Linked DNA regions of Canis lupus familiaris. The protein of the gene in region 1 interacts with the protein of each later gene in a pairwise test. Links are inferred from orthologs where the notes say so. Each region holds a gene or a part of one and is shown in the gene's direction. Other genes may lie near its edges.

The links. The genes of interacting proteins can lie anywhere in the genome.
Region 2: the proteins of GLRX3 (region 1) and CA9 interact in binary tests that used the Homo sapiens proteins (3 or more experiments, as listed by UniProt). The two-hybrid records come from large-scale screens. The link is inferred for Canis lupus familiaris from reciprocal best matches to the Homo sapiens genes GLRX3 and CA9.
Region 3: the proteins of GLRX3 (region 1) and RGS20 interact in binary tests that used the Homo sapiens proteins (3 or more experiments, as listed by UniProt). The link is inferred for Canis lupus familiaris from reciprocal best matches to the Homo sapiens genes GLRX3 and RGS20.

What each region holds. Positions count from the first base shown.
Region 1 is NC_049249.1:39,088,689-39,093,491, forward strand, and holds the start of GLRX3 (glutaredoxin-3), read left to right. Parts: upstream 1-1,817; 5' UTR 1,818-1,887; coding exon 1,888-1,973; intron 1,974-2,636; exon of another isoform or gene 2,637-2,750; coding exon of another isoform or gene 2,751-2,788; exon of another isoform or gene 2,789-2,798; intron 2,799-4,803. UniProt on the Homo sapiens protein: Together with BOLA2, acts as a cytosolic iron-sulfur (Fe-S) cluster assembly factor that facilitates [2Fe-2S] cluster insertion into a subset of cytosolic proteins.
Region 2 is NC_049232.1:52,499,314-52,504,244, forward strand, and holds the start of CA9 (carbonic anhydrase 9), read left to right. Parts: upstream 1-1,506; coding exon 1,507-1,909; intron 1,910-2,725; coding exon 2,726-2,755; intron 2,756-3,017; coding exon 3,018-3,188; intron 3,189-3,356; coding exon 3,357-3,499; intron 3,500-3,576; coding exon 3,577-3,669; intron 3,670-4,716; coding exon 4,717-4,783; intron 4,784-4,931. UniProt on the Homo sapiens protein: Catalyzes the interconversion between carbon dioxide and water and the dissociated ions of carbonic acid (i.e. bicarbonate and hydrogen ions).
Region 3 is NC_049250.1:5,821,840-5,826,966, forward strand, and holds the start of RGS20 (regulator of G-protein signaling 20), read left to right. Parts: upstream 1-1,702; 5' UTR 1,703-1,975; coding exon 1,976-2,140; intron 2,141-5,127. UniProt on the Homo sapiens protein: Inhibits signal transduction by increasing the GTPase activity of G protein alpha subunits thereby driving them into their inactive GDP-bound form.

The sequences.
Region 1 (4,803 bases):
CTGAAGAGCACCATGTACATGTACATATACATGCAGACCTGGGAGAGCCAAATGCGACAGCCAAATACTGCTTGGGCTAGGGCCCAGCCCAGAGGTCTCTGTTGCCAAGGTCAGAGCATTTTAAAGCTCAGAGGTCAGCTTCTAACCATTAGGCCTGTTGATGTCAATAGAGAGAGCTGCAGAAAGAGCAGGAGGTAGAAGTGGGAATATGAGGCAGTGTGGGTGGCTCAGCGGTTTAGTGCTGTCTTCAGCCCAGGACCTGATCCTGGAGATCCGGGATCGAGTCCCACATTGGGATCCTTGTGTGCTTCTCTCTGCCTGTCTCTAGTAAATAAATTAAAAAAAAAAAAAAAAAGAGTAGAAATGTAATCTTGGAGTTTCCCTGACACGCTTTTTTCTAAAGTGGAGAAGTGCTCTGTAGCTGGTGTGTGCTGCTCTCAGCAAATTCCATTTAAAGGGAAAGTCGGGATTTTTAAAACAGCCACATTAGAGGGGCTGATTACTGCTGCTTTTTGAAAAAGAATCACTATAGCACATTTCCCTAGTGCATTACAATTTCATTATTTTTTAAATTACAAAGCCAGTCCCTGTCTTTGAAAAAATGCAAATGACATTAAGAAGTGTAAGATGTAAAAGGGAAGGTCCTCCCTTTGACTCCCCTCTTTTCTGGGGGCAAGCTCTCCTCACACTTTGGGGCATATCCTTCTGAAGACTTTTTTCTTTTTTTTTTCTTTTTTTTTTTTCTTTTTTATTTTTTTTCTTAAATTTTTTTTTTAATTTTTATTTATTTATGATAGTCACAGAGAGAGAGAGAGAGGCAGAGACATAGGCAGAGGGAGAAGCAGGCTCCATGCACCGGGAGCCTGATGTGGGATTCGATCCTGGGTCTCCAGGATCGCGCCCTGGGCCAAAGGCAGGCGCCAAACCGCTGCGCCACCCAGGGATCCCGACTTTTTTCTTTTTAAATGCTACTGTTCAGCTATATATAGTTATGCTATTTTATTTACATATAATTCTGTTTAAAACAGCCGTTGGAGTATGCATCCTCTTTTGCAAGGCGCTGTTCCCCCCACTTCCTATTGCATCTTTGCATTGCAATCTCTGGGTTTTATTTTATTTTTTTAAAGATTTATTATTTATTTATTCATGGGAGAGAGAGAGGCAGAGACACAGGCAGAGGGAGAAGCAGGCTCCATGCAGGGAGCCCCATTGGGGATCTTGGGATTGGGCCCTTAGCTGAAGGCAGACGCTCAACCGCTGAGCCACCCAGGGCCTCTGGGTTTTATTTATTGAAAAAAAGTTTGTTTCAAATTTTACAGTAGTCCACAGAGAGATCCTGTGTACCTTCTCCCCCCGAAGATGACATCTCGCACAGCCATCCTGCAAAACCCCAGCCAGGACATCCACATTCACACCGTCGGCCCCTCTTCTTCCCGGTGTTAGTTGAATCCGTGTGTCTGCGTGTGTTTTGTCCCGTGCAATGTTATTTATGTTCGGGTTTGCACAGGTACCACCGCAGTTAGGATACAAACGACCTCGTGGCTCTTCCTGCATCATCTCAAATAAATAATGTGATTTCCCGTTTTCGGTAACAAGTCCGCCTTCCACTTAATTTCATTCGAGGTGGAAACGTGCAGACCTGGCGGCTTTCCCCTCCACCCACTCGCACGCGCGCACCGGCTCCCCCGCAGCTGCAGCGGGAGCTCCCGGGAGGGGGCGGAGCGGGGGGCGGAGCCAGGAGCAGCGCGGCCACGCCCCCCGGAAGCCACGCCCCCGTCCCCGCCTCGGGCCTGCGCCAGCCGCGGGGGCGGGGCTTCCGCGCGCAGACCCCGGAGGCCCCGCCCCCCGGCCGCCCGCGCTCGATTGCTCCTGTCTGGCGGCGGCAGCATGGCGGCGGGGGCGGCCGAGGCGGCGGCCGTGGTGGAGGTCGGCTCAGCCCCGCAGTTTGAGGAGCTGCTGCGCCTCCGAGCCAAGTGAGCCGGGCGGCGGGCGGCGGGCGGCGGGCGGCGGGCGGCGGCGGGGCCTGGCGAGGGGCGGCCTCTCGGACGGCGGCGGGCGGCCCGGCTCCTTCGCGTCCGGCCGGCGGGGCCTGGCGGGGCGGCCGGCTCCCGAGCTCGGCCCGTCGGCTTTCCGGGCCCGGGAGGGGAGCGGGGGGCGGGGGGGGCGACCCGACCCATGACCCCATGACCCCATGACCCCTCCGGGCCCGGGAGGGGAGCGGAAGGGGGGCCCGACCCGACCCCATGACCCCATGACCCGCCGGGCCCGGGAGGGGAGCGCAGGTGGGGGGGGCCCGCCCCGCCCTAACCCCATGACCCCATGACCCCCCGGGCCCGGCAGGGGAGCGGAGGGGGGCCGACCCCCGGGAGAGGAGCGGGGCGACCCCGCCCCGACCCCCCGGCCCGGCCCCGCCCCGCCCCGCCCCGCCCCGCCGCCCGGCCTGGCAGCCCCGGTGCCCCGGCGTCGCGCTGACTCAGCCCCGGGCCAGGGAGGACGGGGCGCGCCGACCCCGGCGGCCGGGACGCTGCTCCCGAGGGTCCCCGGTGTGCGGGCCGCTCGGCGGGTCGGCGGTGCCGGGCCGGAAGGGAGCCCCGCGGGCGGCGAGGCCTCGAGCCTGGAGCCCCGCGCGCAGGCTTCCTAACCCCGCCTTCCTAACGCATTAGAGTCGCGGGCGGGGAGGGGGGGTGCGGGGCACCTGCCGTGCCCCCTGCGGTGTGGACGCCGCGGCCGGCGAAGGCCGGTGGTGCCCGATGTACCGGCTACAGGCAGGTAGGAGCAGCAGGAGCAGGTAGGAGCAGGTAGGAGCGTGCCTGGGAGAGCCGGTGAGCGGGGGCGGGGGCGAGCGGGGGTGGAGGGGGAGCAGGGCCGGAGCTACTGCCTTGCTTCTGGGGGTCACGCGTGCTGGCCCTGCCGGAGGTAGACGTGTAACCGGATCAGCCCTTCACACATTTCAGGTTTCCTTGGAAAACTGTTTACAGGAACAAAACAAAACAAAACAAAAAAAAAAAAGAGGGAAATGAGCGGTACTCACCGACGAGAGGTGGGTTGTGACTCATCCCGCACTGACATACCCGACTGTGGACGGCGCCCGAGGTGGGCTCTCGGAAGGGGCAGGACGACTTAGGTGCACCTGCTTTCCTAAATACTTGAGCTCACTCTGCCTCGCGTGTTGCACATTTCGGTTTTCACGTGTCGTTTTTTTTTTTTTTTTCTTTTTTTTTTTTCATCGTAAATATTCTTAAAAGAACACAGCCCACACACGCCATTTGGGTGTTTTCCTGCCAGTGGTCTGTGCTCCAGGTGATGCAGAAAGCAGCACACCTTTCCCCTAGGGATTAGCTTCAGCAGGCACCTGGGAAATGATGGCTGGCATCGGAGAAGGAATACATCTCTGCCCCCCCCCCCCTTTTTTTTTTAATTTTTATTTATTTATGATAGTCACACAGAGAGAGAGAGGCAGAGACATAGGCAGAGGGAGAAGCAGGCTCCATGCAGGGAGCCCAATGTGGGACTCGATCCCGGGTCTCCAGGATCACTCCCCAGGCAAAGGCGGTGCTAAACCGCTGAGCCACCCGGGCTGCCCCCAGTTTTAAAATTTGATGTGAATTGAAATTTTTTCTTTGTTTAACTCACCTCGGGTGTTTGTGTATCACTGAAACCTCAGTTGCTCTGTACAGTGGGGATATCCCCAATTGCAGAGGGATCAAGGTTTTACCCATTTGTAAAATACCTAAGTCCAGTATATGATAGTATTTAATACACAGCAGCTGGTATTATCTGCAGATAAATAACTGCAGGAGCTGAACACCTAATAATAATAGAGAAACAGCAATGCATTGAACACCCATTTTGCTGATGCAGAGCCAATGTTCATTACATTGTCTAAAAATATGCTAGTCAGGATTTGAACCTGGTCTTTAAAGTCCTTCAAGCAGTGCACCATGCATGTAGGGTTATTCCATGCAGACAGAGGGTACTCATATGTAACCCAAGAGAGGGTGGCAGCATTTATATTTGTTTCAGGTTTATAGCCTAATGCTCCTAGGTACTATGTCCTTAATTAGAAAGTTGAGCATCTAGATAGGAGATTATTGTAGATGATGTAAAACAACTATTAATATCATGCTTTTATATTTTTAAAGTGTTTTTATATTTTTGTTTGATCTTTCCAACATCTCAGGGTATTAGTTATTGCTGTTTTACAGTATGGAAGTTAAGATTCACATTTACATTAAGATTGAAATTACTCTTCAAAGTGATGTTAGTAGTCATGGAATTTTAAGTTGTGTGGGTATATCTTTTTTTTTAACTATTAGTGTAATTTATACACAATAGTATATTAGTTTCAGGTATATACATATATATATATTTTGCATAGGTCAGTTCATACATACTGTTATAAAATTTGGGAACATTTAAATTTTTAAAAATAATCATATTTTGGGCATTTTTACATGCCATTAGAATTCTTTGAAATATGATTTTTAACAGCTTGCTAATATTCTGCTATTTAACCATTAACAAAGATATAGTGTTATTGAAAAATTGATTCTTCCAGTTATTTGCTATGTGAGAAAATGGGAAAGTATTATACATAAATATACATAAGTCTTTGTTTCTTTAATTACTTCCTTAGGATAGATACTTGACAGTGTGTAAGAATTTTCTGAAAGGTTCCACTTTAATTTTTACCAGTAAGATACGGAAATGCTTGACTGCTTCTTTTTTTTTTAACATGGACTATTTTATTTAAAAAAAATCTTCTTTCAGTTTAGTAAAAAGTGGTATCCCAGCATTTTAAGA
Region 2 (4,931 bases), on another chromosome or scaffold:
TGGGGAGGAGTGAGGTAGCAGGAGCCACCCTGAAGCTAGGGGCTAGTTCTCAACAAAATTAGAAATACTTCAATATATTTCTCCAATCCATACAACCATATGGGTGCATATCTACTGAATGTTAGCCCCAGCTAGGAACTTCCTGAGATGGTCTTACTTTCTTCTGGTTTGTTGAAACCATAGGGACCTTACTATAATGTGAGCTACAGAACAGAAGAGGCTGTCCTCTAGTTCAATGCTGCATCCCTATGGCTTAGAACAGTTCTTGGAGGGTTGGAGGAGGCTCAATAAATGTTTCTCAAATGAACAGGCATACTGGGAACCCCAAGTCCATTCTTGGGGTCCTTTCACTCTTCTCCTTGCCCCTGCTCTCCCCCAGCCCTCAGCACAACCTAATATGAGAATTGGATTCCGTCATTCTCCTGCACAAGATATCTGATGCCTTTCCTTTGCACAAAATCCCATTCTCCACCTTGTTTTTAGCAATTGAACTGCTTCTTTTTCAAAGCCCTGATCATATTTTGCCTACTTCTGTATTACTTTCTTAGGCAGAATTAATCTCTTTCCCCTGAATATTGTGATAGTGTTTGCCCTCACTCACTAGACAGTGAGATCCTTAGGACAGGGACTGTGTCTTATTCATTTCTATACCTTTAGTCCATAGTCTAATGCTGGACATAGTAGATGCTAAATAAATATTTGTTAAATATAAGACTGAATGGTATTCCCAGCAGTGAGAACTAGATGAACAAAGGGGGTTAAAGGTCTGGGGGAAAAATTAATACTTTAATTTGGCTGGAGTATGAGGGAGAACAGTAGGAAGCAGCTCCCCCAACAAGCTCTAGTCAACTACAGGAAGAAGATGGGCAGGTGGAAGCCAATGAAGGTTTTTGAGAAGAGGTGTAACATGATGAAAAATAAATTTACTTTAAAACATCACCGTTCCTCTCCTATATACACTCAGTTTTTCATTTATACTCAGATTTGCCTCCCATCTACCTATCTGTCCACCCACTCCCAGGCTTCCCCAGCAGCTTGTCCTACCCCTTTATCTGGTCTGTGGCTCGGCCAGGGATATATTCATGGGCTGCTTCCCTCTCAGCCAGAGGCTGTGCGGGCCCCAGCTCCCTGTCTTTCCCCTTCTCTGCCTGGGGCTGGGAAGCAGGCCAGGGTTAGCTGAGGCTGGCTGGTGAGCAGCTGGGTGGTGCCAGGGAGAGCCTGTGTAGTGCCAGGTGGTGCCTTGGGTTCCAGGCTGAGCCTATGACCCTGATAACCTCCTGCCTGTGCATATACCTGCCTCTCACACCCACCCCCATCCAGGCTTTGGTATCGGGGAAGGGGCACAGGGCCAGGCAGACCCACGGGACTTTGGCTCCATCTCTACAAAAGGGCCCTCTGTGAGTCAGCCTGCTCCCCTCCAGGCTTGCTCCTCCCCCACCCAGCTCCTGTTTCCAATGCACGTACAGCCCGTACACACCGTGTCTGGGACACCCCACAGTCAGCCGCATGGCTCCCCTGTGCCCCAGTCCCTGGCTCCCTCTGTTGATCCCAGCCCCTTCTCTGGGCCCTGGTGTGCAACTGCTGCTGATCCTGCCACTCCTGGTTCCTGTCCATCCCCAGAGCCTGTCCCGGATACAGGGGACACCCGGGTTGGGAGGAGATTCATCTGGAGAGGATGATCAATTGGATGAGGAAAACCTACCCAGTGAAGAGGATCCACATGGAGAGGAGGACCCGCCTGGAGAGGAGGATCCACCTGGAGAGGAAGACCCACCTGGAGAGGAGGACCCATCTGGAATGAAGACTGAACCAGGAAAAGAGGACTCTCTGAAGTTAGAGGATCTACCTACTGTTGAGGCGCCCAGGGACACCCCAGGCTCCCAGAATAATGCCCACAGGCACAACAAAGGTAAGTGGTCATCAGCCCTCCAAGTCTAGGCTCCAGGAGGCTTGTCCTCCAGGTGCTCAACCCTAGCCCAGGCAGGGATTATTCAGCGAAGGAAAGGAGCCTATACACTGACAGTAGCCTTTCCCATCCCCTTGGGATCTCATGCCACTAAACACTCCCCTCCCCCCTTTCAGAGCTAGAAGGGGATCTGTGAGGAGACCAAAAAGCACAGATGGAGAGAGGTGAGCAGGAAGAGATGAAAAAGAAAGGCGGAGGTTGGAGAGGAGAGAGAGATGAAGGAAATGGAAAGAGATATGAGGAGAGAAGAAAGAATATGAGGGGAGAGAAGAAAGACGGTAGCAGGGTGGGTAGCAATGGAAGAGCCAGGAGGGCTTGTAGAGATCACCGCATCCCCATTCTACAGATGAGGAAAGCGAGACTTAGGAAGAAGGAATAGTAAGTAGGGGAACCTGGTTTTTTGACTGAGAAACCAGGAGACTCAGAAATGAAGAACCTTGGGAAGGGAGTTGGAGACAGGGAGAAAGGGAAGAGGGTCTATTGTTTTGGGCCTGGGGACCAAACCCCTTTCCCCACCCCACCCCCCACTTTACAGACTAAGACAAGGCTGCAAACTGGTATCTCTGGGGCCTGTAGGATCTTTGATCTACCAAGCTATGGTGTTATGTTTGGTTGCAGTCTGTTGTGCTTTATACCTGGCCACGTAAGGCATTCCCGTTACCCCCTATGCCCCTGTCAAGGAGGGGAACGCACTTCCTTCTGGCCGCTGGGGAGGGACTGGGCTTAAATATCGGCTTTCCGTCCTTCTCACTTATGCAGGGGATGACCACAGTCATTGGCGCTATGGAGGTGAGACACCCACCCCCTGCACACCCAACCTGGGCACCCTGCTCTGCCGACCTGACCCCCCAGAACTTTGGTTCCCGGGCGTCCCACCCACTGCACCCGCCTGCCAGTCCGCAGCACGGCCCGCTGCCCTCTCGGTCCCCAGCCCCGATCTCTATTTCCCGCCCGATGCCTTCTCACTCCACCCTCTCACTTTTTCTACCCCGCTTCCCTAACCGGCCCTGATCTTGTCACCAGACTTCCGGTCCACACTCTCTCGCTCCAGGAGACCCGCCCTGGCCCCAGGTGTCCCCAGCCTGCGCGGGCCGCTTCCAGTCGCCCGTAGATATCCGGCCCCAGCTCGCCGCCTTGAGCCCGGCGCTGCCCCCGCTGGAGCTCCTGGGCTTTGAGCTCCCGCCACTCCCAGAACTGCGCCTGCGCAACAATGGCCACACCGGTGAGGGGGGTCTCGCCGCGGAGCCGCCCGGGGGGGCGGAGCCTGTCGGGGGACGCGCCGGGGCCGAGAGCCGGGGGCCCGCCCGCCACGCTCGCGCCTGGCGGTTAGACACCCCCGACCCCACCCCCACCCCGCCACCCCCTGGCTCACCTGGCTCTTCCCTCGCAGTGCAGCTGACCCTGCCTCCGGGGCTGGAGATGGCCCTGGGCCCCGGGCGGGAGTACCGGGCCCTGCAGTTGCACCTGCACTGGGGGGCCGCGGGCCGCCCGGGCTCGGAGCACACGGTCGACGGCCACCGTTTCCCAGCCGAGGTGAGCGTGCGGCGGCGAGGCCAAGGGGGACGCTGGGCCGGGGGTCTTGCCCTCTTCTACCCTCCGTTTCTCTCCAGATCCACGTGGTTCACATCAGCACTGCATTTGCCAAAGTTGAGGAGGCCTTGGGACGCCCGGGGGGGCTGGCCGTGTTGGCCGCCTTTCTGCAGGTACCAGCGCTGGACGCCCCTATTCCCTGCTTCCCCACGCCACGCCCCAGGGCTCAGTGTAGCTTGACCCCGGAGACCCCATCCTAACACACTCACCCTGGCACCTGGCAGGCCTCATTCACTCATTAATTCATCCAACACGCACTGTGAGCCAGGCACTGAGCCACACAAAGGACTCAGAAACCCTGGCTCCTTGACTTAAGGAGCCCACAGCCGGTGGAGGCAGCTGACAATGAAAGGCACATACGGAGGGCACATACAGAGCAGAGGTGGTCAGAGGAAAGTTCCCGGAGGTCAGACTTGAAGCCTGCAGTAGTGGGAAGGAAAGGGAGATATTCCATGTAGAGCCAACATTATATGTGGACTATGATACACTCAGGGAATGGCAGGTGGAACAGAAGGGACACGAGGAAGAGGAGTTTCTTAAATACTCCTATAACTCATAATTTCCACTCTGTGAAATGCAGTAAAGCCTAGAGAAATATTTAGTGACCTCTTTGGGACCTGTAACAATCAGGGCTACCTACATAGTGATTAGAAGAGACTAGTAAAATGCAGGGATGATGGGGAGATACCTTCTAGGCTCAGTCACTGCCTAACTGACTCTAGCGCCAGCCTCACAGTACAAAGTTCAGAGAAGGCATCTGAGATAGGATGTCCTTGCTCCAAAACTCAAACACATGAACTCTTAAGGTGAATGTAGAGGAAATGAGAATACAAAGTTATTATGGTTTTCTGTGGGGAGACCATGAGTGTGTATGTGGAGGTAGGATCAGTGAGACTGGAAAAGATAGCAGGACCCAGGTCACAGTCAAGTGGCCCATCTTCCTGCTTCTCCAATTTGCCATTGAAACCAGCCCACCAAACAGGTTAGGTCAGTAACCTGCTAGAGTAAATCGACCAAGTAGTAATACACAAGATTTTATGTTCTCTCAGCATCCTCAGAGCTGAGAAACGGGAGGAGTATGCAAAGCCCACCTCACCTTCAGGCCTCCAGCCATAGCCCTAGATGCCTATAAGAACCTGTCTTGTACTGTCATTTCCCAGGAGGGTCCAGAAGAAAACAGTGCCTATGAGCAGTTGCTGTCACATTTGGAAGAAATCACTGAAGAAGGTGAGTTTGTTGGTCTGGCCACTGTCCTCAATACCCTTGTTCATAAAGAACTGTCCTTGGGAAGTCTCAGGAGTGAGAATGGATGATCAGCTCCCTCCCACAGGAAGGGAAACAATGTGTGAAATGACTGACTATGACCTTGACAATA
Region 3 (5,127 bases), on another chromosome or scaffold:
TTTTGCCAACCTATTGAGTGTAAAATCATTGTGATTTTGACTTGCTTTTCCCTAATGGCTAATGACGTCGAGCATCTTTTCATGGGCTTATTGGCCATTTACGTATTTTCTTTGGAGAAATATTTATTTAGACACATCACCCATTTTCAGTTAAATTTTATTTTGTTTTGTTTTTTCAGTTGTAAGAACTCTTTACATATTCTGGATACAATTCCTTTATTGTGTATATATGATTTGCAATATTTTCTATATTTTCTATTTTGTAGGTTATCTTTACACTTTCTTTCTGAGGTTCTTTGAAAATCAAAGTTTTAAAAAAAAAAAAGAAAATCAAAGTTTTTCATTTTGCTGAAGTCCAGTTTACCTTTTTTTTCTTTTGTCCTTTGTGCTTTTGGTATTATATGTAAGAAGGCTTTGCTTAATCCAAGGTCACAAAGATTTACCCCTACATTTTCTTGTAGCAGTTTTATAGTTTCAGCTCTTACCTATAAGTCTATGATTCATTTTGAGTTCATTTTTTCTGTGGTGTGAGGTAGAAGTTCAACTTAATCTGTCTGCCTGTAGTTATCCAGTTGTTCCAGCACTATTTGTTGAAAAGACAATTCTTTCCTCTGTTGAGTTATTTTGGCACCTTGTCAAAAATCAATTGTCCCTAAATGTATGGATCTATTTATGGACTCTCTATTCTGTTGATCTATAGGTCTATTTTTATGTGAGTACCACACTATTAATTACTGTGGCTTTATAATTAGTTTTTTTTATTTATTCATGAGAGAGAGGCAGAGACACAGAGGGAGAAGCAGGATCCCTGTGGAGAACCTGATGCGGGACTCGATCCTGGAACCCTGGAATCACAACCTAAGCCAAAGGCAGACGCTCAACCACTGAGCCACCCAAGCATCCCCTTATAATAAGTTTTTAAATTGAGAAATGTGAATCCTCCAACTTTGTTCTCCTTTTTATGAGATTGTTTTGGATAGTCTGGGTCCCTTACAGTTCCATATGAATTTTACAATCAATCTATCAATTTCTCACAAAAAAAAAAAGAATAAAAAGAAAAGGAAGCTGAAAGAAAAGGAAAAAAAGAAGCTGAAATGTTGATAGGGACTGTGACTGTGTTTGTTTTGCATACCAATTCTGGAGGCCCGGGGTCATTTTACAAAAGGAAATTTCTCCAGTTCATAACCCAAGTAATATACATCTGGGGTCTTTACCCCTGTGCACCAGACCCAGCAATGGTTACTTGAATATTAGATATTCCTTGAGAGAAAGATATTATGTTCTACTCTTTGCACTCTGTGTAATAATCTTTATTTATAGGGCACTTTACAAATGTGAAGCACAATATTCGAAGCCAACTTTTGGTTTAATCACTAGATGACTAGTTACTTCATAAGAAAAATCATTTTAATCCTACATCATATCAATTTAGGTGTAATAATCCTTGGGCTTAAGTTTGGGTGTGAGTTTAGCAAATATTTCTAACCGCAAAGCTAACTGCTGCTAAAATGACCTTTTAAGAAAACTACATAGATTAGGCAGACCATCTGCCTCTCCATTGCGTGGTCCAAGATGATCAAATACTAGTCCCTATCACACATGACTAATGCAGAATTTCGCAAAATAGTCTATTCCCTTTATCATTATATCCTAAGCAATATATCACTTACACCATTTCTTTCCATTTTGATTTAGGAATTAAATTTGAATTAGGAACACATTGCTGCCTGCAGAGGGCAGTCATAACATATCTAGACATTCAAAACCAGAAGCTCTACCTGGAATAGAACACTAGTGGATAAACTGCTGATCCCCAAAACAGATAATCCTGTTGCTTCAGATAGTGAAGCAGAGAGATCCCCAGCTGGCTGAGAGATGGCACAGCATCCACCAGACGAAGAGAAGTAGACTGGATCCTGGGCTACTGCTGTTAAAAACAGGCTGCAGGACTCATTTAGAACTTTATTGTAAAAACATGCCCAGTCTTCCCCAAGACAACCAAGAGTGCCTCCAGGAACATTTCTCTAGGCCATCTATGTGGAAGCAATTTCTGCCCCTGCGTAGGGCAGAGGGATATAAAGCAAACATTCACCAAACCATGGAAAATGAAGGTAGCACCAAGGCTGTGCATGATGTCAAGGTAAGACAATCTCCACAACCCCTGATCCTTTCTTGACAAGGAAAATTTTTATCTGGAAAGAATTTAAAACCATAAGCAAGCTTTCATACTATTGCTCTATCTTACTAATAGTTTATCAAAATGTTTTCAAGCTAACCCCAAGAGGAAAACTAGAACTTTGATAATAATTACCAGATCTGTCCAGTTTTCTCCAACCTAAACAGCTTCCCTTTACGAAGACAAATGCTTATTTATTGTTTGTTTGTTTGTTTGTTTGTTTCAGGAGGGGTAATGTTTTTTAAAAAAGGAAATCTAGCCATAGATTTTTATGACTGTTGATATTTTGTGGCTATTGTAGTTTGGATATTTTTCTCTAAAATAAAATTTATTTCTCGTACAGTATTGAAAGAAAAACTATAGACTGCTTTCTACAAAAATTGCTCAAGAAAAAATTGATAAAATAATACAGGAACATAAGAACATTAAGAAGCTAAGGGATTTTTTCCTGAATTCATAGTTTCCTATGGTGAATTTTTTAAGCATGAATTTCTATCAATAGGTAACATTATTTCCCCAAAGAGTGACAATTTGCCTGCTCGGTGTTGTGTGTATCTTTGCAGTTTAAGTCTGTAAATCCTCTTAACTATGAATAGAACCATCTCTTAAAAGGTTATTCAGAGAAAGGGGGATGGGCCATGTTACTGCCTACAAATAATCAGAGCTCAGAATTAAATGCTGCAATCATACTACAGCAAACCTATCCAAATACTTTAACACCAAAAAACTGATCCGTCCTTGTGCCATGGCTCATATCCTGACAATAAACATGATTTATTATTGGATATCTTATTTTAACCAATTGGCACAGGAAGAAGAAAAATGTAGAAATGTACTGACCTTCACTTTTGACCTTTCAGACATATGTGAACAAATAATATGTGATATTCACAGCTCCTATCATCACCTGAGCACTAGGTCTTTAGGAAGCTAAAATGAAATAGATATACTGGCTGGAAGTCCTTAATTAATGGGCATCTAAACCTAAATGTAGGGAACCTATGCAAAAGAGATTTCTGAAAGGTAGAATTTGGAGGTTACTCTGCGGAAACAGCAACAACAACTTGGGTATATTTTATGTGTGTGCACACATATAATTTCAAAGTTCTAACTGTATTGAGGGGTACTCTTTAAACAGAATCATAGGCAGAGGGATCCCTGGGTGGCGCAGTGGTTTAGCGCCTGCCTTTGGCCCAGGGCGCGATCCTGGAGACCCGGGATCGAATCCCACGTCGGGCTCCCGGTGCATGGAGCCTGCTTCTCCCTCTGCCTGTGTCTCTGCCTCTCTCTCTCTCTCTCTGTGACTATCATAAATAAATAAAAATTAAAAAAAAAAAAGAATCATAGGCAGATAAATTGGAAAAGTATTTATGAATCAGCAGTACATCTTCCCACAGCATCCTGGAATCAAATACACTTCCAGTACTGGACAATCCTACCTGTGATACTGACCTCATTCACCCAGATAAACGGGTTCCAGCCAGTACAGCAGCAGGTATGAGTAGTCAGGAGTGATCCAGTTGAAATGCTACTGGCCTTCCCACTCAGTTTTGCCTCCTCAAAAAATCTTATGTTGCATCTGAACATAGATACACATATAGGTGAACATGTCCCTCTTCTAGCATATATGAGGATGATAGAACTCAATCCATTTTAATTCTACAAACAGCATTGCATCCTTACTATGTGTAAAACCTGGGTTAGGTTTTGAGAAAGAAAAAGATATGCTCCTTCTCCTTGGCAGACTTACAATACATTGGAAAACAGACAAACATATCAACATTTATTAAGTTATCGTATTATCACCATGACTCATGTCAACAGTAGAGGATATCTATGTAACTACATTCTTTTGATCAGTAAGGCAGTAAAATGTTAGGGATGGCATATGACCAATATAGAGTAAAACAACTGAAAATTGCCTAATGAAAGAGTTAAAGAGATGAAATTTAAAGTAGACATGAAATAATGTCTTAGAAATATGGAAAAGTGGGCAGCCCGGTGGCTCAGTGATTTAGGGCTGCCTTCAGCCCAGGGCATGATCCTGGAGACCCAGGATTGAGTCCCACGTCAGGCTCCCTGCATGGAGCCTGCTTCTCCCTCTGCCTGTGTCTCTGCCTCTCTCTCTCTCTGTGTGTCTCTCATGAATAAATAAATAAAATCTTTAAAAAAAAGAAATATGGAAAAGTAGACAGGGAGAGCATGGGATGGAATGTGTTTAGATGTCTAGAGGCCAGTGATAAAACCTTCAAAAATCTGCAACCTAAGCCTCATACATTATACAGAAATTAATTAAAAATGCATCATGGACTTATAAAATGTACAACTGTAAGTAAAACTATAAAACTTTTAGGGGGAAAATTTGTTAATCATTGTGATTAAGGCTAATCAGAGTTCTTGGGCATCAAAAGTATAGTCCATAAAGGAAAAATTAAAAAGTTGAATCTCAGAATATAAAAAAGAAACATTTGCTCTGCCAAAAACTGTTAAGAGGATAAAAAGACAAACTACAGACTTTGAGAGAATATTTTCAAACCCCATAACTGACAAAGCCCTCACATTTAGAATATATAAAGAATTCACAAAGCTCAAAAATAAAATAGCAAACAATCCAACTAGAATATGGGCAAAGAAATTGAACAGGCATTCCATCAAAGAGCATATACAAATGGCAAACAAACACATGAAAAGATAGTCAACATCATAGCCATTAGGAAAACACAAACTAAAAACACAATAAAATATCACTACACACCTATCAGAATGGCTAAAATGAAAAGTAATGAGGGGTGCCTGGGTGGCTCAGTTGGTTAAGCATCTGGCTCTTGATCTCAGCTCAGGTCTTGCTTTATCTCAGGGTTGTGAGTTGAGCCCAGCGTCGAGTCTACTAAAAAAAAATAATAATAAAGTGACAAAACCTAGTGCTGGCAATGAGTAAACTTGTGAAATTG